7 linked regions of the Xenopus tropicalis genome follow. The protein of the gene in region 4 interacts with the protein of the main gene of each other region in a biochemical or structural test. Links are inferred from orthologs where the notes say so. Each region holds a gene or a part of one and is shown on either strand. Other genes may lie near its edges. The genes, in order: ruvbl1, ddx17, chaf1a, sumo2, exosc10, mta2 and eef1g.

Region 1 (3,500 bases), on a different chromosome or scaffold from region 4:
GTTACTAGTCCACTGCCTGTCACAGTAAAAGAAAGCGGGCATCTAAATATTCGTCATGACCATACCCCTGATCTGCCCAACGACACCCTGTTACATCCAGAAAATACAAAGCACCCTTTGTGGTACATAAACTGGAATTTTGTATGTAGCGTCTCCAGTCCCCACCCTCCAAAATGGTGGCACTTTCTTGTGCACAGGCTCCTGCACTGTGATCACTGCCAGGGAACTTGGGCACAGAACATTGCCACCAACCCTGCTGCCATGCTTTGCGTTTCATGAAGGTGTTGAAAGCACTACCTCATCACACAGAGCAAAGGGTTTCTTGAACATAAGTCATAACCTTGAACATGTTTATACATATTTGTCTAATGGGAATATTAACAGGTGACTATTTCCTCTTGCTTTGCTATCTCTTGCTTCTGTGCAAGTGTCACATACTTTGCTAATTTATTTTGACTGTCGGGCCACACATTCCCTTCTACCTTCCATAGCTCTCCTCTTGTACCCTGTCCACCAAACCAACAAGTGACATTAGCTTTATTATTCTCATTAGTCAGTGTTGCACAGAGTGAAGTCCCCCTTTGCATAAGGATAAAGTCTTTGTTTCCATTACAAGTGATTTTTGGCTTTTAGAAGAAAATTGATGTTTTTTCTTCCCTCAGCGCCAGTTTTGTGGCATGGTTTTGATTCGATGTGCTTTTTGAGCGAGATACTGTATTTCAAACACAAGCAGTGAAGCAGTACTTAATTTGGAGTCTGTTCTGACAAGTTCCTGCTGAGAACATTTGGGATTTAGTGGGCTATATGGAGAGATGATCTGATAGCAACAGAAATTCTCAGTGAACCAGGAATTTGGATTGTTAGGGTGGGATGGTGGAGCCAAAATTATAAGGGTGCAGTATGGATCTTCCATAAGCACAGTCAGACCAGGCTTGTTTGTTGTGAATATTTAGTGATAAGTAAAGTTGTGTCCCTTTTGCACTTACAGTGTGACTGTCTGGGTCCTTAAGGTTGCCATACACATAGCAATTTCGATCTTTTGTTCGACCATCGTTCCCACCCTCCACTGAAGTTCAGGGCTGAATCGTCCGATATGGAGGTAGAAACAATAGAAATTCTACCTCCTGCCGATTCAGCCCTGAATGTAGATTTTGCTAAAAAATCTTTTAACCTGGCCGATCGATGAGTTGAGCGATATCCGCAGCCTTTTGTGATATCGGCCGCCTCGTTGAGCCGCCATACACGCACCTTATATTGTAAGAAGCGAGGTTTCCTACGATATCACCGGTTCATGTATGGCCGGCTTTAGTGCGTCCTGAACTGAGGTAAGTCACAGGAGTTCTTTCTAGGGTCATCATTAAGAACTAATCAAAATACACAGGGGGTACTAATTTGTTAGGCACCACAGTGAATATAATCCCTAAACTTGGATCCTGACCCCCTATGTTCAAGCATTTCCCAGGAATCCTTTGCTGCTGTCAAGGAATATTCTTATGCTCAGTATAGTAATATTGGTAGTCATGTGAGGAATGCTGACCTGGGTTCTAGGGTAGGAATTATGTTTCCTGCAGCGGGTCGGGTACCCACAGAACACCCGCATATATGTCAGGAATGGGGGGAGGCAAAATCCTAGATGTCTTGACTGTGCGGGTGGTCCACAGGTACACAGTGGAGGTAATTGGGGAGGTTTCAGGCAGCTTTAAAAACACAAAAAGACCTGAGTTTACCAGCAAACTTGCCAGTTTCTGACCTAACTTCTGGTTCTCAAGTCAGCCCCGCCACAAAATAATGACGTTACTTCCGTTTTGCCAAGAAGTTGTTTGCGGTTCGGGAAGGCACTTCTTCGAATTTGTTCGGGTATGGAAAGACATCATAGTCAATACAGGTGTGTGGGTCCAGGTCTAACTGAAGATACACCAAAATATACCAAAACAGACCCATGCAGGACTCTTCCCTGGAGGATGGGATGGCTAAAGTTAAAGTGTTGCTGCTTAAGTTATTTTCTAATGGGCAGACTAACTGTAATAAATAGATAAATGGGCCTGCTGGATATACATTGTGCCCATTTGGGCCATTCAGTTTTCTTTGGATCAGCTGGTCCTTTAGGGCAGTGACATACCGGCCAGTCGTGTTTTTAGGTGTACATGCATGTCTATGGTGCAGGCAGGAGTGACTGCTGGAGACTTCACATTCACTTTCAGGCTTGCAGCCATTATTCACAACAGTACCCCAATTGTTGGATTGGATTGTACCTCTTCATGGTGGGCAGAGGTGCCTGACCTGGGCTATGTGACTGCACTACTACAATCTGTCAGAGCTGTTTAATATGTTTCTCTTAAATTACAGGCATGTGGGGTAATAGTGGAGCTAATTAAAAGCAAGAAAATGGCTGGGAGAGCGGTGCTGCTGGCGGGACCTCCTGGAACTGGCAAGGTACCTTATTTTTCTGCATGTTTCTTTCACCTGGATCCTATTTAACCATGGAAAATGCAAAGCATCAGGGTGTATATGTCTCCTATGCCAAACTATGTTTTGACTGCTGGCATTGCCCCCTTGTGTTGAAATGTTCATAGTTCCACTTTAAACCTGTGAATCACATACATAAACATTATACAAGGATAAGCTTGTTATACAGTGGGATTATGCATAATACATTACTGCAGCCTTTTAAAAAAAAAAATAATAATTTATATTGGAAACAGTAAAAGAAAAAAAATCTTTCATTAGATCAACAGTAATACCAGAGATTTCATTTGTAGAGCCTTTAACCTTGTGAATCAGAAAAGAAGATGGGGAACTACTGGGGGCATTTCTAGAGGCAAAAGGGCTATAGTCTCCTCCAGCTGGTGCTATAAGGGCAGTCTCGCGTGCACCGCCCTTTTGCACCTTTGGTCAGGCCCACGTGGCTTCCTTACTCTGCTCTCTTTCATTTTTATATTCCTTGTCTCCTTACAGACTGCTTTGGCTTTAGCCATTGCCCAGGAACTAGGCAATAAAGTTCCATTTTGCCCCATGGTTGGCAGTGAAGTTTATTCCACAGAGATCAAGAAAACGGAGGTCCTGATGGAGAATTTCCGGAGAGCCATCGGTAAGTGGTTGGTGGGCAGCTTGCTATGTCTGACTTTAAATGGTAAAATATACACAAGGTGTTGGAATTTTCCATTCTTAAGCATCTTAATGAAAGAGCTGAACTTTTGAAGCCAAAAACTCAAAGTAAATGCTAATCAGCCATTTCACATGTAATATAGGAGGTTACAAAGAGCATAAATAGAACATTTTTATAAAGCAAATGTGTCATTCTTCCTGCATAATATTTACCATAGTAAAAAAAATCTATTCTACCCTGCCCCAATAATTGCCCTATCCTGCACACCATTTATTATTTTGAATGCTTTATTAGAAAATACCTGCTAAAACTTGGCTTCCGGTCATTTTAAATAGGGCGATACGGCAATGCAGGGGAAGAACCCACTATGCGATGATCGACTGATCGATCCTAG
Region 2 (3,500 bases), on a different chromosome or scaffold from region 4:
TTGTGGGTATAAATATGAGCTGAACTGTAGTGAATGAGTAGTAATTCTTACAAATAGATTCTTTTTGACAGGTTGACAGTTTTTTTTTTTATTATTCATCATCTTACTTACAACTCAGTCATACAGTTGCCCTTTAAAATACTATTAATGCTTTGTAGCATTGGGCTCCTGCATCCTGTTTTGATTGGAGCCCAATAAATAACAATAAAAAAACCTGTCAAGCTATTAGTCATACACTTCTCTATACCCCTCTTCTCGGCATTTGTCTATCCTCCCTCTTCATGCGGTAGTTGGGAGTCTGATTTTGAATCACAGTTAGATCAAATATTAAGATTTATTGAAATTGTCAGTCAAAATCTGACACCCTACTCCTGCATGAAGAGAGAACGAAGCAAAATAGATGCTGAGAGAGGGATAGTAAAAATAAACTTGATTATTTCAGTATTTTTAATTGATTATTTTATAAAGTTTCTTATTTCAGTATTTTATATTAAATTGTTATTTTTGTGATCGTTCTCATTTAATTACTTTAAAACATGCACTTTTTTTTTTTTTGGTGTTACTATTCCTTTAACAAAGGCCTACCTATCCAGTAGAGCCTTTGTGTTTAAACACCCCTGAACCTCAGCAAAAATAAACTATATGAAATAAGTATTTAAATTAAAAAAAGCATAATTTTAATGATGGTAAATTAACATTGTCGTTATGCGTTTAGTGTTTATTTCTGGATATTACTGGCACTTAACAGATTTTATGTTGCGTGTAGGCTTATCCAGTTGATGGAAGAAATAATGGCCGAAAAAGAGAATAAAACCATCATCTTTGTGGAAACAAAGCGCCGCTGTGATGACTTAACCCGCAGAATGAGGCGTGATGGGTAAGGAAAAAGTTTAATTTTCATTAGTTTTTTTTTTTTTCCCTCCCCTGCTCTGGTTATCTTTATGCTAAATTTATATTTTCCCAAGGTGGCCTGCAATGTGTATCCATGGTGACAAAAGCCAACAAGAACGTGACTGGGTTCTATGTGGTGAGATTCTACTTTTAAATTACTTATAGGCCAGACAAAGAAATTTAATTTTGTATGATAAGAATTATATTCAGCATATAATTTACATGTCATCAGAATCCTAGATGGAAATCTTTTTTTTTTTTTTTTTATATTTAATTTTGAAATTTCACATGGGGTTTAGCTGTGTTCTTCATTTCCCAGAGTCCCACAGCCATGTGACCTGTGCTCTGATAAACTTAAGTCAAACTTTACTGCTGAGCTGCAAGTTGGAATGATACCATCCCCCTCTTTTTCCCTCCCCAGCAGCTGATCAGCAGAACGGTGGGAAGGGAGCAAGATAGCAGCTCCCAGTAGATATCAGAGTAGCATTCAGTAGTAAGAAATTCAAGTCCGGCTTGGGACTCCTCCAGTTACATGGCAGTAGGAGAAACAATAGCTTAGCTGAAAGCAGTTCTAATGTGTAGCGCTGGCTCCTTCTGAAAGCTCAGACTCAGGCACAATGCACTGAGATGGCACCTACACACCAATATTACAGCTAAAAAAATATATTTGTTGGTTCAAGAATAACATTTTAAATGGTAGAGTGAATTATTTGCTATGTAAACAGTGTAATTTAGAAATAAAAAGTACACCATAAAAATTGACAGTATCCCTTTTAATAAGTTTACCAGCACAGATAGCCCCCATTGCATTGTGTTAGTGTTCTTGAGTCTATTGTTCTGCATTTATTCTTGGCTTGCCTGCTGCCATGTGTTAACTAAGCTGATGCATGAATATAATGCTCATTTTTTTTTGGTAGAATATATTAAGAATAAATTATCTTAGTTGGGATCAAGAGTAAATGGGACCTGACTATACATGATCGTAGCTAGCCATAAATATAAAAATTTGATATTAGAATGGTGATATGTGAAAATGTGCCTCTCAAAGTGGAAAGTAGAAGTATGTTACTGATATATGTTGTGCTCAGGAACTGATCGCTTAAAATTTTCTTTGCAGAGTTCCGTACTGGGAAAGCACCTATCCTTATTGCAACAGATGTTGCTTCCCGGGGTCTAGGTTTGTATTTTTGGAGGTTTTCTTTATTTTCCTCCCTCCACTCTCCTGCCACCCTGCGCTTTCCTTTATGCAGTACATTATAGTTCAAGCTTTAATATATTTAAGCAGTATTTTCTAGCTTGCTGTTATTAGAATATCTTCATATAATACACACTGCATGCAAACTGCATCCCATTTTTACGTAAAATATACACACTACATATTATATTCATGTCATTTTTATAGGAAGCACATACTGGACCTGTCACAGCACGGATATGTGAAATACAAGTTTATTATCGTTATAAACCTTAGATGTATTTTGACATCTTTGGAACTTTGGCTAAGCATATGTGAAGTCTATTTACCTTTTATTTCACAAATCCATCCAGTCAGGTTTGATTTGTACCTTCTACTAAAAGTGTACATGGATTTTCTGCTCCCCATTTTGATAGCCAGGCCTCCCACACATACCGTGGTGTGTGGTGAATTTCTTATTTTAATGAAATGAAGTTATTGTGCATTTTGGTATGTAACTTATTCATTTTATTAGTTATAGCTTTTTTTCCTAGTATTTTTTTTAAATCTTGAATGTGCTTAAAACTAAGTATTAAGTTGTGCTTATATGTATCCTTTAATTTGTGCCCCAATCCACTGATGCAAACCATGCATTTCTCAAGGCAGGAAGAGTACCACAGTCTGTTTCTTGTTACTCAGTTCCTCCATCTGTGTTTTTTTGTGGTGGGAGGATGTGGAACTGTTTGGCTTTAGTTTGCCATTAAAACTTGCCACAAATTTACTGGTCTCCTTCTCCCCAATGGAAAGGTGGTTCACTTGTAGGGAATGGTCTTTTCTAGGCACAGTATCTTCTGGATGTAGTTACTATTTTTAGTGCTCTGAAAATGTCTTTTGGCTATTTGTTGCTCTTAAGAAATTGCATGGCTACCTGTTCTATAGCTGTTAGGTAGCAGCCAGGTAAGTTCCAGTTGAGCATGAGTCTTCTACACTGTAGGCAATTTAATTTCATATTTTTAATTTAAAATTTGATATTAAAACTTATTTTTTTTGTTTTGTTTTTGACAGAAGCTGCAGATCTCTCTCAGTACAGGGCCAGGGGCCCGTCGAAAATACAGGGGGATGAACGCTGGAAGCTGCCCCCCTAAAGGGCACTGGCTTCTTACACTCCTCCCTCGCAAAGGTCTTGTACTGAAGAGGCAATTTTTGGGTCTGCAACTCCGAGCCCCCTAAGTTACTCACTCAACATGGTGGTGCACAATGCAGGCATTCCACCCTGAGTACTGATATTGGGCTACTTCTACGTCCCATTTGCCTGCTGATTCAGTGTCATGTTCTTGCCCAGCCTTATTGAATAGAAGGACCACCTTTCTAGAAGGGAGATCACACAGATGCTTCCCACTATGCCATCTGCTGGGCAACTGTTGGGAAGTCTTTT
Region 3 (3,500 bases), on a different chromosome or scaffold from region 4:
AAATAGGTTTATTTACTTTTAGCTTGTTGGTCCTCTAGAATCATACAGTCATCATCCTCTTCTTCATTGTCTGCCTGAAAGCCATCCATATCTGTATTTACAGCCTGAATGATAAAAAAAACAAAAAACTGTTAAATGGCAGCTATATTGAACAAAGCTAGGGAGAAACGGTCTTATCATTAGCAAAAGCACACACAACTTTTTCATCAATCTTAACTTATCTTTGAACCCAAAGCAGTATAAACTCTCATTTGACTGGATCTAAGGCACTGGGCACGACTAATAAAATAAAGTCTTAATCTATAATGTATGACATGCAGAGAAATTTAAAAATATTGTATTGAACATAGTTTTTCAAATTACAATATTTGCCTGCATACATTTAAAATTGACTACGGCAATTTTTGCTTAAATGTATAAAACTTACAGTGGGGTTGTGCAAACCAAAATCAGAGACATGATGTCATGTAGTTATAATGCACTGCTGAGATTTTTTCCGATGCAATTTTTTCCAATGTTTGCTCACATTGAATAAGCAGATAAGGTTCATTATTGGCCCCATTCCCTTAAGAAGATTTTATTGGATTCATCCAAATACCAGTTACATCCCTATTTAACATCCACATAGCTGAGAAGTTCATTCAACATAATCACCAGACTACTTCAGAAGTCAATTAGTGGGGCACTAATTATAGCACAAGGGTAATATATACTCAAGGAAATTTTGAAATGGCAAAGATACATCATAACATGGCATTGTATTCTATCTGGTTATCTCACCATTTCAAGGTCCCTTGCTCGCTTCATAAACTTTGTGATAGGCATGCTGCCTGCAGACTTCCTCTTGTTAGACGAAGGCAGAGATTGCAATGGTCCTCCATTGGGACCATTATCTTCCTTGGCTACAGAGTTAACTTGAGTAATGTAAATCCACTGGCAGGGTACAGGAAGATTGTCTTGTTGTAGGACCTTTAAGACATCAGAATGCACATACCAACACATACGGTGGTCTGGGCGCTTTTCATACACTGAGTTTTCAGAGATTAAACGCTTTAAGTGAGCCTTAGAAGGGACTAGAACATTGTTTGGTGTTTGTGGTGTGGAGTTAGGGCTGGGGGACTCATTGTCTGTGGTAGTACTTGTGTTATCCTCCAATAATAAACCTCGGCGACAGCACTCCTGAAATTCTTGTATTATAATCTTACTTCCATTGACATTTCCATGAAGTAGAGGGACAAGTTTGGAAAGTACTAAAAATAAAAGAGTTTAAGTTAGCATTTGTAAGATAAAAACAATGAAAATTTTGAAATTACAGAATTAATTTTCCAAACAAAATTATACGGTCAGCCCATAGGGACATCTAAATGCGGTATAGATTATTAACAAATAAAACTATTTCGACTTCCCTGGTAGCTGTCAAAAAAAAGTTGTCTGACCTGCCACTGGCTGGTCCTAAACATCTACAAAGTGAAGGAAATACAGCTCGGACCAATGAAATTTGACCATCCATATTGCAAAATCATTATTAATTGTCCATCATACTTTGCCTGTCCTTGAGGTTCTGGGCAGAACTAATCTCTTGTGCAAGCTCTTCCTCAACTGCAGGTGACTCCAGAATACAGGCAGAAAATTTTTGCAGGAGTCTAATTTCTGAAGCATTACTGTCCCACCATACACATCCAATCACTACAGGCTGCAGTACACGGATCTTCTTGCTGTTTGATTGCAACTCATCCCACTCCTTAGCCTTCAGCTTCTGTCTAACTTTTTGGTTCTCTGGGTCTGTGCATTCCTAGATGGGCAGGATCAAAAGAAGCTCAGATTAGAACAACCCTCAGCTAATAAAAAAAAAAAGTTAAGTGTCACTGAGCTATACTGAATTATAGTTCTAATTATAATATTAGTGCACATAAGTCACATTAAAAAACATTGATATAATAACCACACATGGGTAGGAAAGAAAAATGTAAAAGCTTTTTATACTGATTACCAGATACTAAATTCCTGAAAAACGCAGGGCCATAACATTGGGGTTCTACTGTATTGGTATTTTAGATGCATACTTTAAAAGTTTTAGCAAAAAAAAAAAGACGACTACAGGGCAGGATATTTTTTAGGAAGATTTTTTTTTAACTAAGGATTATAGGTCACTATTTGCTACGGTCTTCAGAAAAAAAACACATGTATTCCTTGTTCTATACAAAGATTATACTGGTATTGATAGTGCTAGAGGCTAGTGCTATCATAATAGGATTATATAGGAAGAAGAATATATGAAGCTAACAGTGGGAAGAAGCTGGAGCAAACACAGAAACCCACACAAAAACCATGAAGCAAACATATAAAAACTCTACTAATATAGTGCTGTGGTAAAACCTGAACACCAAATTCTTAAGGCAAGAATGCAAATCATTGTTACACATAAGGCACCAAGTATGCTTAGGTACAGTGACCCACATCAACCAATATGATCAAGTTTATCCAGAGTCTACCTGACCCTACAGAGACTGTCCAAAATATAAACAGGGTGCACCTGACCAATAGGTCAAAATGATGTGGGCTAATTTTTCTACATGTTTTTTATGACTGTCCAGCTATATGTACTTTTTGGCATAAAATACGGTCATATATGGCACACACTTGCATTTCCCAATATATTGTCACCAAAAGTCGCCGGTGGGTTGGCATACACGGCAGCACGTTTTGCCAAAGTTGCCTTGAGAGGAAACTTTGGGCGACTTGGGCAAATCTACATTCCAGCCGGTGGGATGGCATTGCGGGGAGATTTGTCGCGGCGACTAATCTCCCCGTCTGTCACTGCCCTAATAGCAAATCTTAGCCCTTATTTGACACCTCCATGAACTTTTATAATGCTTGTGTTGCTCTCCAAGTCTTTTTACTCTGACTGTGGCTTATGAGTAAGAAAGGTTGGGGACCCCTTTACTAGAGGATGCCTGGAAAAATGTGACAATATTTAGGAACTCTGGCTGAAACAATAGGAACAGGGCAAGACACTGTATCTATGTGTTTGGTGCCTTTATGCTCTTTTCAACAACAACATGCAGAATAAGTTGTAGGTAAAACACAACACTGCTGTTGTGGAATTAGAAGAACTGAGAGACAGGGCAGGACTAAAGGTTGAGATTTGGATGTCAATCGTATATTTAATTTTAACAAACTAAAACGAACATTCAGATTGAACTTGTGAATACAGTCCTAAAAATAACAAGTCGGAGGATGTTCTGAACATGAAATAATTGGCAGACAACAATCATACGAAAGTGACATCCCAGAAATGCATTGTAGGTCACCCAGAAATATTATCAGATATGCAATATATGCACAGACTCCTTTTTTTCACTTTAGTCCTAAATTTTTACCTCATCAGATACCCCTTCATCATCAGATAAGTATCCATGGGGAACAAAGAAGCCATCATCATCTTCCTCGTCTTCTTCTTTGGGATCATCATCTTCATTCTCCTAGGCAAATGAAAAGGA
Region 4 (4,020 bases):
GGTCTTAACACCTTCCTAAAAGAAGTAAAAAGTGGAATGAGTGCTGGGAAGGGGCATCATGGCACAGAAACACTGGTAACGCTTGTGGTTATTCATCCCGTTGTGAGAAATGAGCTCTTTGCACCCCATTCTAGAGAATACTTTGGCACCAAATGACAAAAGAACTCTAGTTATATTAGATCTGGCCGGGGACCATGCTACATTTGGTAATGTGTTCACAACGCACAAGAAGAAAGATGGGGAGCACAGAAGTTATAAGGCTGCATGTCATTACACAAAATACACCAAATGTTCCCTTTAGAACAACAGTCACTGCTGGGAGCTACAGTTCTGGAATGTTTACTGACTGCACAGGCATTTAACTTACAACTACACTCACAAAAGCTGGTCTAGCCCCTAACCTCATCGTATATATTAGCCTTACAGTACGCTTGCCTGTGTCTCTAGGTCCCCAATTAACAGGTCCCAGTGATTAAGAGAGCAATATCACATTGAGGGCCAGTATGCAGAATAACATGGTACTGCTTCACAGTGTCACAGACCCTGAATCTAAAGACTTAATACAAGTTTAAAAGTTCTCAGAACTTTCTTTCCACTGTGCCTAATGCACCTTACCCTTCCTGCTTCTAACACGTGTTCCTCCATTACCTACACTACTTCCTCAATTCTAAAATTCCTTCCATACTAAGAATTCTCCTTCCTTAGGTCGAAGACACACAGTAGTAGCAGCTACTTGTCACAGCTACTAAAATATTCAATGCCAATCAGTTACTGATAATTCTCTGTTTTCGCAACGCTCCATACTGTCTAAGGCAGGGGATTTTCTGGTGTTTTGTAGCTGTAAAAAATTAGTTGCTGCTAGTAGCTCAGTGTGTCTTCACCCTTATGCCCCTTACTCTGCATGGAATGCCCCCAACATAACCTAGGCTTCTGGCCAGTATTAACTCTATTTAATGGCACTGAGCCCTGCATACCCATTTTCCCACCATTAAGCTCTCCCATAATACTTGCCCTTCTCACTGGCCAGAGGCTACATCTTTTCCCACTCAACATTCTTGAATTCCTCTCTCCCCAAGTTACCTCATTCCCTAAAGTCAATGCCCCCAACATACCTGGGCTCAGGGCCCCCTAAGCTCCCAATTCCCAGCCCCAGTATATGCCCCCAACATACCTGGGCTCAGGGCCCCCTAAGCTCCCAATTCCCAGCCCCAGTATATGCCCCCAACATACCTGGGCTCAGGGCCCCCTAAGCTCCCAATTCACAGCCCCAGTATATGCCCCCAACATACCTGGGCTCAGGGCCCCCTAAGCTCCCAATTCACAGCCCCAGTATATGCCCCCAACATACCTGGGCTCAGGGCCCCCTAAGCTCCCAATTCCCAGTATATGCCCCCAACATACCTGGGCTCAGGGCCCCCTAAGCTCCCAATTCCCAGTATATGCCCCCAACATACCTGGGCTCAGGGCCCCCTAAGCTCCCAATTCCCAGTATATGCCCCCAACATACCTGGGCTCAGGGCCCCCTAAGCTCCCAATTCACAGCCCCAGTATATGCCCCCAACATACCTGGGCTCAGGGCCCCCTAAGCTCCCAATTCCCAGTATATGCCCCCAACATACCTGGGCTCAGGGCCCTCTAAGCTGCCAATTCCCAGCCCCAGTATATTCCCCCCCAACATACCTGGGCTCAGGGCCCCCTAACCTCCCTATTCCCAGCCCCAGTATATGTCCCCAACATACCTAGGCTCAGAGCCCCCTAAACTGCCAATTCCCAGGCCCAGTATATTCCCCCCCCAACATACCTGGGCTCAGGGCCCCCTAACCTCCCAATTCCCAGCCCCAGTATATTCCCCCACAACATACCTGGGCTCAGGCCCCCCTAATATCCCTATTCCCAGTATAGCCAAGGTCGCCCATTCCCATTTACTTCCCATCTCCCAATACTGGCAGTGCCCAACATACCCTTCCCCAGTGCTCCCTGGTTCCTGTCCTCCCTTCCCCAGTGCTCCCTGGCTCCTGTGCTCCCTTCCCCAGTGCTCCCTGGTTCCTGTGCTCCCTGGTTCCTGTGCTCCCTTCCCCAGTGCTCCCTTCCCCAGTGCTCCCTTCCCCAGTGCTCCCTTCCCCAGTGCTCCCTTCCCCAGTGCTCCCTTCCCCAGTGCTCCCTTCCCCAGTGCTCCCTTCCCCAGTGCTCCCTTCCCCAGTGCTCCCTTCCCCAGTGCTCCCTTCCCCTGTGCTCCCTTCCCCTGTGCTCCCTTCCCCTGTGCTCCCTTCCCCTGTGCTCCCTTCCCCTGTGCTCCCTTCCCCTGTGCTCCCTTCCCCTGTGCTCCCTTCCCCTGTGCTCCCTTCCCCAGTGCTCCCTTCCCCAGTGCTCCCTGGTTCCTGTGCTCCCTTCCCCAGTGCTCCCTTCCCCTGTGCTCCCTTCCCCAGTGCTCCCTTCCCCTGTGCTCCCTTCCCCAGTGCTCCCTTCCCCAGTGCTCCCTTCCCCAGTGCTCCCTTCCCCAGTGCTCCCTGGTTCCTGTGCTCCCTTCCCCATAAACCTAGTGGGCCAATGCAGTGCAGCCTCCCATAACCAAGCCCCGCTAGTATGGGCGTCCCTCTCCCGGCTGTCTCCCTACGGGCCCCTCCCGTACCCACAGAGCCCCCGCACAGCCCGCAGGCCGCTGCCCCCTCCCTTTAGCGCCTAGGCCTCTCCCTCCTCCTGCCCCGCACCCACTGCCCCCGGCCCCAAGCCCGCTATGCGACCCTTCCCTCTCCCAGCCCGGAGCAGGACCTTGGGCTTATCGTCCGCCATTGTCAGTTCGCTCCCGGTGCCCGGTACTCTCGCTGCTGCCTCCTCCTCACAAAGAGCCTGAACTGGCGCGGGACGTGGAACGAGAGCGCGCACGTACGGAAAGGAAGATTTGGCGCACTCTCTGCGTGCGCGCCCCCGCCGCTATTTCCACTGTAGGGAAAAGCCCGCCTTGGGGAGCACGTGGCGGCGGGGGCGCGCATGGGGGGAGGGGTCTGACTCTGAGGAGAGTCAGGGTGAGGTTGGGCCGCATTGTACCCGGGATTGGCTAAATCCCTTCCAGTGACTTCATTGGCCTAGTCTCATAGAGGGGGCAGGAGCCATGATAGAAGCTTCCAGAAACAGCCCCCCCTATAATTAAGCCAAAGGAGGAAGCCATACCAGTTGCCATACCAGTTACCTTTTCACTAAAACTTTATTTTGATCAGTCCTGCACTTAAGGGCAAATGCCCATACCTGGTGCCTCTTACCTTCCAGTTTGTGCCTGTATGTTACCCAACCACTTAGATTGTAAGCTCTACGGGGCAGGGACCTCCTTCCTACTGTGTCTCATACCCCATGGCACTTACTCCCTGTGTATTTATACTTATTTATTGAAATTTATTATAACACTTGCCCTACCTGTGGGTAATTGTGTATATTGTAAGATTGTACAGTGCTGCGTATCCTTGTGGCGCTTTATAAATAAAGTTATACATACCAAAAACATAGAGAAGCTAACCATATCCAAAGCTACCAGACAAAACATAAAAATCATATCCAAACCATATCCAAAGTTACCAGACAAAACATAAAAATCATATCCAAACCATATCCAAAGTTACCAGACAAAACATAAAAATCATATCCAAACCATATCCAAAGTTACCAGACAAAACATAAAAATCATATCCAAACCATATCCAAAGTTTCCAGACAAAACATAAAAATCATGGAAGGTGGCTGCCCTTTTAGGGACATAAAATACAGCCATTTCCCAGGGTGGGACTGGACGAGCGGAACGATAGGAGAAAAACCGTCTGTTGAGGTGGTGGACCCCACACACCTCATTCCAACACTGGGATTTACTGTCTTTCTTCCCTATTTACTGTTAATAACACTGACAGCCTTCTGCTCCTCATAGTTACCCCCCCAAAAATGAAAAGGCCTAAAACCCACCCAAAATTGCCTAGGGTACAAGCAGTGCATATTGGGACATGGTTATAAGGGCATTTATTTTCTTTCATTTGGAGT
Region 5 (3,500 bases), on a different chromosome or scaffold from region 4:
AGTGTGGGGGAGAAAAGGGCTTTAAAGGAACAGTAACACCAAAATATGAAAGTGTATAAAAGTAATTATGGTATAATGCACTGGTATAACTGGTGTGTTTGCCTCAGAAAGACTACTGTAGTTTATATAAACTAAGCTGCTGTGTAGCCATGGGGGCAGCCATTATAAGGAGAAAGGGCACAGGTTACTCAGCAGATAACATATAAAGACCCATTATATTCTACAGAGCTTATCTGTTATCTGGTTTTTAACCTGTGCCTTTTCTCCTTTTTTCCAGCTGGAATGGCTGCCCCTATGGCTACACAGCAGCTTCTTTATATAAACTATAATAGCGTTTCTGTAGCCAACACACCAGTTTTACCAGTGCAGGGCAACAGTACGTTATATTTTAATTACTTTAAAACTCTTATTTTTTATTTTTTTTTGTGTTACTATTCCTTTAAAAGAAAAAAAAAAAAGTGCCCTTTAAGGCAGTTTTTATGCCAGTAATTCAACTGTAGAACTGCACACAGGTAACTCGTAATTTTATTAACATAAATGTTACAATGGAAAATATACCCCCTTTTTTTTTTTTTTAATAAATTTATCTGAAGGATCATAATATAAGGTGGAGTTGTGGTTTACTGCAAACGGTTTAGCAACTTCCTATTACATGTTTGGTTTTAAAATCCATTCAATGACATATGGATGTAGAGATGCCCAAATTAGTATTTTGACTTCATGTATTTACTTGTAAGATATATTTCTTATTTAAAACATCTTATTCCTTTAGTTGAAGCCATTTGCTCATTCTTTTTATCATTTTATGTTTCGTTCTGTGATAGTATGAGCCAAGTTATGCAGTATCATGGCCTTCGTAGTCATATCCGGGATCGAAGCAGAGTCACGTTGCTGGAAGATAAATTTGATTTGCTTGTTGATGCCAATGATGTCATTTTGGAGAAAGTGGTAAGTTTTTTTTTTTTTATAGGATGTATTGCTTTGACCCTTGTGGAAATGAAATGAAAGTGAACAAAAATGAAAGTGTATCAAAGTAATAAATGTATTATGTACTTTTGCCCTGCACAGGTAAAAGCTGTGTGTTTGCTTCAGAAATACTACTATAGTTTATATAAACAAAGCTGCTGTATATCCATGTGGGTAAGCATTCAAATTGAAAAATGGAGAAAAGGCATAGGTTACATAGCAGATAACAGATAAGCTACATAGATTCCTGTTGAACTATACAGCGCTTATTGATTATCTGATGTTTAACTTGTGCATTTTCTCCCTTTCTTTCACATTGAGTGGGAACAAGGGACAGTGGGTAAAGGGCCCCTGCCATCACTGTCGGGACTCCAATGTATACCTCAACTAGCCTCTTCTATTGATAACATTTTGGTGAGACTAAGGGGCTAATTTACTAATCCACGAATCCGAATGAGAAAAATTCGGATTGTAAAATGAACATTTTGCGACTTTTTCGTATTTTTTGCAACTTTTTCGTAACCGTTTCGACTTGCGCGAATTGTCGCGACTTTTTCATAGCCAATAAAAATTTCGTGAATTGTCGCAAATTTTTCATTGCCATTATGACTTTTGTGAATTGTCGCGACTTTTTCATTGCCATTATGACTTTCGGGAATTGTCGCAACTTTTTTATTGCCATTATGACTTTCGGGAATTGTCGCGACTTTTTAATAGCCATTACGACTTTCGCAAATTGTCGCAACTTTCGTATTGAGAGCTCGAAAAAGTCGCGACAATTCGTGAAAAAGTCACAAAGTACCGATCATTACGAAAAAAACGCATTCGGACCCTTTTCGGATGTTCGTGGATTAGTAAATGTGCCCCTAAGTGATACCACAACTTCCTCAGCTAAACACAAGCGAGATTTTGGAAGTGCGGACACTTCCCTCAAAAATCCTTTCTGGAACAATCAGCTCCACAGACACTAGGGGGCAGACTTTGGTTCTTTGCAAAGGCATGGGCTCTGCACACTTCAGATCACTGGGTACTCTTTAGAGTACCGACTCGAGTTCCGAGACCCTCCCACACTTAATTTTTCATATCCAAACTTCCCTCGCAGCCCAACAAAAGAGAGGCCTTCTTGACAATTGTTTGCTTGTTAGCAGAGGCCGAGGTGATTGTTCTAGTACTGCCTCCTCTGTGTCCAAGGTGTGTCTATTATCAAGGCTTTCTTCAAAGAGAGGGCCAAACAGCATCTTCAGTTAACAATCCAGAGTTTACAGGACTTCTTCCCTGAGGAGAAACAGCTCAGATTACTCACATCCATCAAATATCTCAAGACAATGCAGAAACCAACAGTACAAGCCTGCATGAGAATCCTGGGACTAATGGTATCATCCACCGAGGCAGTGCCATTTGCTTAATTTCACCTTTGTCCCCTCCAAGCCACGATCCTTAGGCAATGACCCAGGACCTCCCTGCATCAACAGATGTCTCTAAAAAAGGGAACCAGGAGGTCCTTGGAATGGTGACTGAACCTACAGACAAGGCACTTTCATCTGACATATGTTTTTACTCCTCTCCCATTGCTCGCTCGAGTTCTCAAAATGATCCGCAGGGAAGTGGCTACAGTCATTGTAGTCCCCACTCGTTGGCCCAGGAGGTCATGGTACTCAGATCTTCTAGCTCTCTCTCTAGAAGCTCCGATGGCCTTACCTCCACGAGATTGACCTCCTTTGTCAGGGTCCAATATGTCATCAGAACCTGCACCTCTTCGCCTTAATGGGATGGCTCTTGAGGCTGCAATCTTGAGGGACAAAGGTCACTCGGAAGAAGTGATCCAGACCAGGATAAAAGCAAGTAAGAAACCACTTTCAGAATTTACCACAGGACCTTGTCCTTTTACCAGATCTGGTGCCCGCAACAGGACTTCAACTTTAGAGAATATAAGATCACTAGAGTCCTGGAATTACTTCAGTCAGGATTAATGAAGGGACTATACCTAGTATCCCTAAAATCCCAAGTGTCTGCTCTTTCTATCTTCTTTCAGGAGTGGCTAGCCCTATAAGAAGACATCTGCACCTTCTTACAAGGGGTCTCTAGAGTTGCTCCACCTTATTGGTAACCTGTCCCCCACCTGGAACCACCGTTTGAACCCTATCAAGTTCATCGCCCTTTCTGATATTTCAGGAAGGCAGAGCAGTCCTTTGGCAGTGCCGGGATTTCTCCCCAAAGTGGTGTCCTCTTTTCACGTTAAAACGGAGATCATCTTTCCTTCCTCCTGTAACAACTCTCGTAATGATAAAAAGGCAAAACGTCACATTATGCTGCTCTCTATAGCCTAATCAGTATTGGCTTAAAGGAACAGCAAAACATCAAAATATATTAAAGAAATTAAACCATAATGTACTGCTGCCCTGCACTGGTAGAAATTGTGTGTTTGCTTCAGAAACACTACTACAATTTATGTAAAAACCGTGATGTGTAACCATGGGGGCAGCCATTCAAAAGGACAAAAGGCACAGGTTATATAACCGCAAAATAAACCTTGT
Region 6 (3,500 bases), on a different chromosome or scaffold from region 4:
TTTAAGGTAAATTACTAGCAATCTTTATGTTAAAGGAAGAAAATACCTATGAAAATAAAGGAAATATGACAGAGTAAATCCCAATAAATACATTAGAATATATTGCTGGCAATTGCCTTTAATTGAACAGCCACTGTCATGTGAGCATGTGTAATATAAGCTCTGAAATAGAAAAGTCCCCCTTGCAAGAGAATCTGTAACAGTACTGGCCCTGGGAATTTACCGAGCTCCAATCATGTTCTGCAGCTTCTTCATTTCTATGATATTTATGACCCTGAGGATTGTTCAGAAGTAAAAAAAAGATCTTTCTTACACACACACAGGTAAAGAAGGAAGACCAGATGTCTCTTGTACAACTCCTCTGGCTCAATATGGTTCGCTCCTATGGGACAGCTATGGCTCACCCAGCAGCGGCAGAAAGCAGCCCATTTAGAGCTTGAAACCTTCACGTGCTAAATCCAGCAGTTTCATGTAAGGATACGTATCCACTTCAGCTTTTTATCACACACTCCATAAAAATTACCCAACACCATCAAATGTGCTCTGACCTGAACCTGCAGAACATTTTGTGTGCTTTATTCACTTATTAGATTTCCAGATAAAGGCCTTGTCAGCCTCTCTATCAAGTACGATGTTATGACTTCTGACCTTTTATTAAATCCACAAAAATGCCTGCAGTACAAAGCTCCATGTTCCCCTTCTACCTGAAAAGCCACCATCCACACAAAGCTGTGTATAACCTCTTTCCTCATTTTACTGATGGACAGCTCATTTTTTTTCTCGTACAAAAAAGCATAAACTAAACAAGAATTAAAAAAAAAAAACAAACAAAAAAAAACCCAGTATATAGGGGTCAGAAGAAGGGGTTGGAAGGGCTTATGAACAAACAGGGTAGTTACATGAAAAAATATATATTAAAAATAAAAAGGAGTTTGGGAGGAAAGTAAGTGAAAGGACTGTAGAGAAATAAGCCATAACCAGATACTGTTGCTGGAAAGCAGAACAAGGAGGAGCATGGGTTCTTTCTTTTTAATGTCCCTCTGTTCGTCAGCATAATTGCCTGGCTAGGTAATTGGTACCAGGGCTGTATTCTCTCACAACTGGGTAACTGTTTAAAAGGTCCCTCAGTCCTCCAGAACTATGGGCTCGCTTGTACTGGCAGGATGGGCTGGATTGAGTGGAGGCAGGATGTTTGTAGGCCGTGGCGGGAGTGGGACCTTTAACTTCACTGGTTGACTTGGACGACGAGCAGCTCTACGCATCTCCATGTGTGTGAGGTTTTTCCTGAGACTTCTGCGGAGGAAATAGAAACAGGTTCACATGATTAACAGAGAAGGACCAGTAACCCACACTAACAGTCACAGTATAGGCTGGAAGTTACCTTGTGTCTTTAGTAGCCACAAACACCACTGGATTGGGGGCATCGGCAAGGTTGAGCTTCTGTCTCTTGACACCGGGCTGAGAGCTAGAACGGACACCTGAAGAGAACGAGCGGCCATTTGAAGAGAATGGAGGAATGACACCCACACCAGACACCTGCTAAAGGAAAATCATACAAAGTAGTGCTTTTAGCCAATATTATACGTAGCAGTAAAATGCAGCAATACAATGATAATGTACTTACTGCATCAAATGCTCTTTTTGGAGGTAGCACACTCAGCCCTCTACTCTGCGATAGCTGGTTCCTATTTATTGGGGTCTTTGTCCCACGTGGGGTTTTCGGCTTAAGAGGAGCCTGGGCCGCTTGGGGTAAGAACAAACAACTTTACATTTTGCAGATTTAACTCCCCATTTCATACTTAGATTTTGGCCCCTACCCTTACACACACACCCAAAAACCTCAATATTTTGCAATAAGATTTAACATCCTTCCATTCAAGATTAAAGTGTCTGCGTATCTCCCTGTGTGAAGAAATCCCAACTTTAAGTCCCTTCAAGGAGTGGTTTACCTTCAGGTTAACTTTCCGTATGTTACAGAATAGTCTCTTCTTATAAACTTATCAATTGCATTGATTATATTTTTATTTATATAGTCATTAAATTATTTATTGTCTTCAGACTCTTTCCAGCTTTCAAATGTGGGTCACTGACCCCAGCAGCCAAAAACAACTATTGCTCAGTGAGGCTGCAATTTTATTCTCATTGTTAATTTTTATTACTTATTTTTCTGTTTAGGCTACCTCTTATTCCTGTCTCTTTCAAATTGCTGTCTGGTTGCTAGGTTAAATAGAACCCTAGTAACCAGAACCAGCTTCTAAAATGCCAAACTGGAGAGCTGCTGAACAACGCTAAATAATTAAAAAACTGCAAACATATGAATATCAATTGCAAATTCTTAGGGGCTGATTTACTAACCCACGAACGAGTCGAAATGAGTCCGATTGCGTTTTTTTCGCAAAGATCGGTATTTTGCGATTTTTTCGTATTTTTTGCGATTTTTTCGGCGTCTTTACGAATTTTTCGTTACCAATACGATTTTTGCGTTAAAAACGCGAGTTTTTCGTAGCCTTTACGAAAGTTGCGTAAAATCTTGTGATTTTTCCGTAGCGTTAAAACTTACGTGAAAAGTTGCGCCTTTTCCGTAGCGTTAAAACTTAAAAGGTGCGAAGTTTCGCGTAAGTTTTAACGCTACGAAAAAGGCGCAACTTTTTGCGCAAGTTTTAACGCTACGGAAAAATCACAAGATTTTACGCAACTTTCGTAAAGGCTACGAAAAACTCGCGTTTTTAACGCAAAAATCGTATTGGTAACGAAAAATTCGTAAAGACGCCGAAAAAAATCGCAAAACATACGAAAAAGTCGCAAAATGTTCGTTTTCAAGTCGGAACTTTTCCAAATCGGGTCGGATTCGTGGGTTAGTAAATCAGCCCCTTAGAGTCGCACTCTCTACCTCGGGGCCCCCAACCTTGCTTAATCTTGAGCCACAGTCAAATGTAAAAAGACTTGGGGAGAAACACAAACATCATAAAAGTTCATGGAGGTGCTAAATAAGCGTTAAGATTGGCTGTTAGTGTGTATAGAGGCTGCCTATCAGCTTACAGGAGGCTTTATTTGGTAGCAAAACGTGCCACCAAGTCAGGAATTCAAATATAAGCCCCTGCTTTGGGGGCACTGAGAGAAACACCCAAGGGGTTGGTGAGCTACACATTACTCACAAACCACTGGTTGGGATCACTACTCTACATCATACTAAAAGTTAATTAATAGGTGAACTACCTCTTTAATGTCAGTTTAAATTCTAATAAATAATATGTTTGAGACCCTACTGGTTGGTAACTAGTGGTGAGGGTTTTGTTTCTCACCTAGCTCCTTCACAATAGCTGCCAAGGAAGGGCGCACAAGGGGCAGTATTTTCAGAGGGGTCTTTGATGCTTTAGGAAGGCGAACAGAACCTGGAAAAGAAGGTGCACTGTGTTATTCATGGAAGAATAAGTATGATACAAGGACAAAAGCCACAAAGGCTTCTACAGAAAAAATGTAACACAAATGCATTGTGTACT
Region 7 (3,314 bases), on a different chromosome or scaffold from region 4:
CTTGGTGTTAATAGGAAACCTAATTCTCACCTCTCACATATTTCTCTGACAGTGGGCAATGATGAGCTCCGAGGAACCAATCGTTTACACCAAGCTCAGGTCATCCAGTGGGTCAGCTTCTCAGACAGTCACATTGTCCCTCCGGCCAGCGCATGGGTCTTTCCCACTCTGGGGATCATGCAATACAATAAGCAGGTAAGAAGGGTTCATTATTCTGCTTTATTTTCTTTGGTTAACTACACACTGCTGCGTGCTTATCTGCTAAATTATTTATTCATCTAACAATGGCCTTTCCTTTTCTACTTTGTGCTGCGTCGAGATGAATTATGAAATACTTTGCTTTACAAATACTTCAAGCACCCATAATGTTTGGGGTCAGTAGGACCCTTTAGGGTGACCAGATTGCTTGAAAATTCAGGGACGTGTAATGAAGAGAAAAAATAAATCCAGCTAGCAGGGCTGAACTGATTTGAAATACAATTCCTGCGACATGTACTAGATGTGTCCTTGAATTTTCAAGTGATTGGGTCACCCTACTTTTTGCCGCAGCCATAGCTTTAGATGAAGTAAACACGAGGCAGTTGTCAGAGATGGATGAACTGCCTGATCCAAGATCGATATGGGTTTAACAAGATTTAACTGTTTTAAATTGAAAGATTACCTTAAAAAGTGTGTGTATATCTCTGCCCCACCCTTATTTAGTGAATGTTATGGTTATATGTATCTTTCGGTTTATTGAATGGTGTGAAGTGATCTGTGCAGTTAGCTGGAAAATAGCAGCTTGCTTAAGGGCTGTGACACACGGGTAGATAAGTCACGGGTGACAAAACTCCCCAAAATGCCATCCCACCGGCTAGAATGTAAATCGTCGGTGGGATGGCATATGCGGCGGTGTGATTTGCGGAAGTTGCCAGAGTTTCCTCTCAAGGCGACTTCTGCGAATCACGCTTGATGCTTATGCCATCCCACCGGCGATTTACATTCTAGCCGGTGGGATGGCATTTTGGGGAGGTTTTCTGTGCAGCGACTAATCTCTCTGTGTCACAACCCTAACTAATTCCCCCTGGTTGGCATAATGGCGGATTCTAGTCTTCCTGGCTACTTTTTAGTACACGACTGTTTGTTATCTCAACAACCCTCTTGGATAGGGTTTTTTTTGTTAGAAGGTAGTAAGCCTCAGAAGCAAAAATAATTGAAGATTGAAGAAAATAATAGACCATTTTACCTCAATTTCTGTCCTTTTAAAACTGGCCATTTGGGATTATGGCTCTTTCTGTATATTTCTAGGCCACAGAACAAGCCAAGGAGGAGATAAAGGCTGTGCTGGGTGTTTTAGATTCTCATCTGAAGACACGGACATTCCTAGTGGGCGAGAGGGTCACGCTGGCTGATATAGCAGTTACTTGCTCTCTTCTGTGGCTCTATAAGCAGGTCTGACACTTTAATTTTTATCTGTTTCTCCTTTGTCTTTTATTCCTCCTAACTGTATTCCTGTTGTGAATTTGTAGCCTCCTTTAGCCATATACTTCACTATATTACTGTTTATAATAAAGATCCATTATACCTGTTCTGGTATACCAGTTCTTCATCATTTATTGGATTTCCCACACTCAGAATACATAAACACTGAAGTTTTTTTTTTTTTAATTTTTTTTCTATTCTAACTTTCTGTATAATAATCCTCGCCATTTACCCCATTTCATGTATCTACATCCCCATATTTTCACACTCATTTCTGTCAGCCTTTGTAGCACTTCTTTTTAGTGTCCATATATTAATTTCTATTTATCCATAGGTCCTGGAACCATCCTTCCGCCAGCCATTTGGTAATGTTACAAGGTGGTTTGTGACCTGTGTGAATCAGCCAGAATTCCGTGCTGTGTTGGGAGAAGTCAAGCTTTGTGACAAGATGGCACAGTTTGATGGTGAGCCTGAACATCCTATAAAATTCTCTTTTCTATCCCATTACCCTATTACCCTGTGCCTACACAGCAGCTTTGTTTCTGAAACACTGGTATAGTTTATATAAACAAACACACAACTTTTACCTGTGCAGAACAGTGTTTTTGAATTACTTTAAGAAATAATTTTTTTGGTGTTACTGGTCCTGCAAGGCAGGTTTGGTCTGTTTTGCGCTAAATCATTCTTGTACTGAGTAGCTCTTATGGTCAGCAAAACCGATTAATTTGATTTAGAGCTCAACTATAAACAAATTGTCTGGGCTGTATATAGGGCCAGGGTCTTTGTATTTATGAATACTTCCAGGATTGGAATGAACAGTATTCTGTATAAAGCATCATCTTCAGAATGTCATTTTTATAAACAAAATGTAGCGCAGTCTGTAACGGGGCTAAATATATACAAGCCATTTTTACAGGTGGTGGTCTACTTTTGATAGGGATGTTAGGTTAACTTATTGTATTTGCTATGTAAAATAATTTTTAGCAAAATGGCAATTCAAACTATTTCACATTGTATGGTGGTGTTTCTGCCAGGCTGAGAGTGTTATTTTTAATTTTCTGTAGCTAAGAAGTTTGCCGAGATGCAGCCCAAGAAAGAAACTCCCAAGAAAGAGAAGCCAGCAAAGGAGCCAAAAAAAGAAAAGGAGGAAAAGAAGAAGGCAACACCAGCTCCTGCTCCTGCCCCAGCCCCTGAGGATGATATGGATGAATCTGAAAAGGCTTTAGCAGCAGAGCCTAAATCAAAGGACCCATACGCACATCTACCTAAAAGGTAAGATCATTGAGCAATTGATGTAATTGTTGTCATCAGACTCTACAACACTACATCCCAATCTTAAGTGACCAGTTATAATCTTTCACTGTCATAGACCTTTATCGTCTTACAAGTCTTCATTTTCCCATGCAGCTCTTTTGTAATGGATGAGTTTAAGAGAAAATACTCTAATGAAGATACCCTGGCTGTAGCTCTGCCTTATTTCTGGGAGCACTTTGACAAGGAAGGCTGGTCCATCTGGTACGCTGAATACAAATTCCCCGAGGAGCTGACACAAACCTTCATGAGCTGCAACTTAATTACAGGTAAGAGGTAAATGTATGCATACACGGTGCTGCCTTGAAAAGCACTGATACAAGTAATGGCATGTAGTTAGGCAAAGGCTGGTAGTTTTCAGGGGATTAAACAAACACTTTGATGTAAAAATGTTATAAAGACGCTAGTGCCCCTGGTCTGTAAGCAGTACTATACTTGCTAGTAGTAGTCCTTAAATAGAACTCAGTCATAAATATTTCAAGGCTTGTGCATTTGTACATCTGGCAGCTATATAATTTTATATAACCCTAATTAAAACCATT

What was found.
Region 1: the proteins of sumo2 (region 4) and ruvbl1 form a complex in vitro, tested with the Homo sapiens proteins (2 studies listed by BioGRID). The link is inferred for Xenopus tropicalis from reciprocal best matches to the Homo sapiens genes SUMO2 and RUVBL1.
Region 2: the proteins of sumo2 (region 4) and ddx17 form a complex in vitro, tested with the Homo sapiens proteins (2 studies listed by BioGRID). The link is inferred for Xenopus tropicalis from reciprocal best matches to the Homo sapiens genes SUMO2 and DDX17.
Region 3: the proteins of sumo2 (region 4) and chaf1a form a complex in vitro, tested with the Homo sapiens proteins (2 studies listed by BioGRID). The link is inferred for Xenopus tropicalis from reciprocal best matches to the Homo sapiens genes SUMO2 and CHAF1A.
Region 5: the proteins of sumo2 (region 4) and exosc10 form a complex in vitro, tested with the Homo sapiens proteins (2 studies listed by BioGRID). The link is inferred for Xenopus tropicalis from reciprocal best matches to the Homo sapiens genes SUMO2 and EXOSC10.
Region 6: the proteins of sumo2 (region 4) and mta2 form a complex in vitro, tested with the Homo sapiens proteins (2 studies listed by BioGRID). The link is inferred for Xenopus tropicalis from reciprocal best matches to the Homo sapiens genes SUMO2 and MTA2.
Region 7: the proteins of sumo2 (region 4) and eef1g form a complex in vitro, tested with the Homo sapiens proteins (2 studies listed by BioGRID). The link is inferred for Xenopus tropicalis from reciprocal best matches to the Homo sapiens genes SUMO2 and EEF1G.

The regions. Positions count from the first base shown.
Region 1 is NC_030680.2:134,985,309-134,988,808, reverse strand, and holds part of ruvbl1 (ruvB-like 1), read left to right. Parts: intron 1-2,346; coding exon 2,347-2,433; intron 2,434-2,955; coding exon 2,956-3,088; intron 3,089-3,500. UniProt on the Homo sapiens protein: Possesses single-stranded DNA-stimulated ATPase and ATP-dependent DNA helicase (3' to 5') activity; hexamerization is thought to be critical for ATP hydrolysis and adjacent subunits in the ring-like structure contribute to the ATPase activity.
Region 2 is NC_030680.2:120,518,457-120,521,956, forward strand, and holds part of ddx17 (probable ATP-dependent RNA helicase DDX17), read left to right. Parts: intron 1-766; coding exon 767-877; intron 878-965; coding exon 966-1,027; intron 1,028-2,008; coding exon 2,009-2,068; intron 2,069-3,500. UniProt on the Homo sapiens protein: As an RNA helicase, unwinds RNA and alters RNA structures through ATP binding and hydrolysis.
Region 3 is NC_030677.2:93,798,171-93,801,670, forward strand, and holds part of chaf1a (chromatin assembly factor 1 subunit A), read right to left. Parts: exon of another isoform or gene 3,483-3,500; coding exon 3,381-3,482; intron 1,793-3,380; coding exon 1,543-1,792; intron 1,251-1,542; coding exon 781-1,250; intron 105-780; coding exon 17-104; intron 1-16. UniProt on the Homo sapiens protein: Acts as a component of the histone chaperone complex chromatin assembly factor 1 (CAF-1), which assembles histone octamers onto DNA during replication and repair.
Region 4 is NC_030686.2:44,411,181-44,415,200, reverse strand, and holds the start of sumo2 (small ubiquitin-related modifier 2 precursor), read right to left. Parts: upstream 2,801-4,020; 5' UTR 2,791-2,800; coding exon 2,770-2,790; intron 2,060-2,769; exon of another isoform or gene 1,823-2,059; intron 1,476-1,822; exon of another isoform or gene 618-1,475; intron 16-617; coding exon 1-15. UniProt on the Homo sapiens protein: Ubiquitin-like protein that can be covalently attached to proteins as a monomer or as a lysine-linked polymer.
Region 5 is NC_030683.2:64,893,176-64,896,675, reverse strand, and holds part of exosc10 (exosome component 10), read left to right. Parts: intron 1-824; coding exon 825-948; intron 949-3,500. UniProt on the Homo sapiens protein: Catalytic component of the RNA exosome complex which has 3'->5' exoribonuclease activity and participates in a multitude of cellular RNA processing and degradation events.
Region 6 is NC_030680.2:36,834,445-36,837,944, forward strand, and holds the end of mta2 (metastasis-associated protein MTA2), read right to left. Parts: intron 3,393-3,500; coding exon 3,303-3,392; intron 1,744-3,302; coding exon 1,625-1,743; intron 1,540-1,624; coding exon 1,382-1,539; intron 1,294-1,381; coding exon 1,125-1,293; 3' UTR 328-1,124; coding exon of another isoform or gene 324-327; 3' UTR 103-323; downstream 1-102. Other genes in the region: putative nuclease HARBI1, read left to right, coding at 324-327. UniProt on the Homo sapiens protein: May function as a transcriptional coregulator. Acts as a component of the histone deacetylase NuRD complex which participates in the remodeling of chromatin.
Region 7 is NC_030680.2:36,802,782-36,806,095, reverse strand, and holds part of eef1g (elongation factor 1-gamma), read left to right. Parts: intron 1-52; coding exon of another isoform or gene 53-177; coding exon 178-195; intron 196-1,287; coding exon 1,288-1,431; intron 1,432-1,795; coding exon 1,796-1,925; intron 1,926-2,525; coding exon 2,526-2,733; intron 2,734-2,868; coding exon 2,869-3,041; intron 3,042-3,314. UniProt on the Homo sapiens protein: Probably plays a role in anchoring the complex to other cellular components.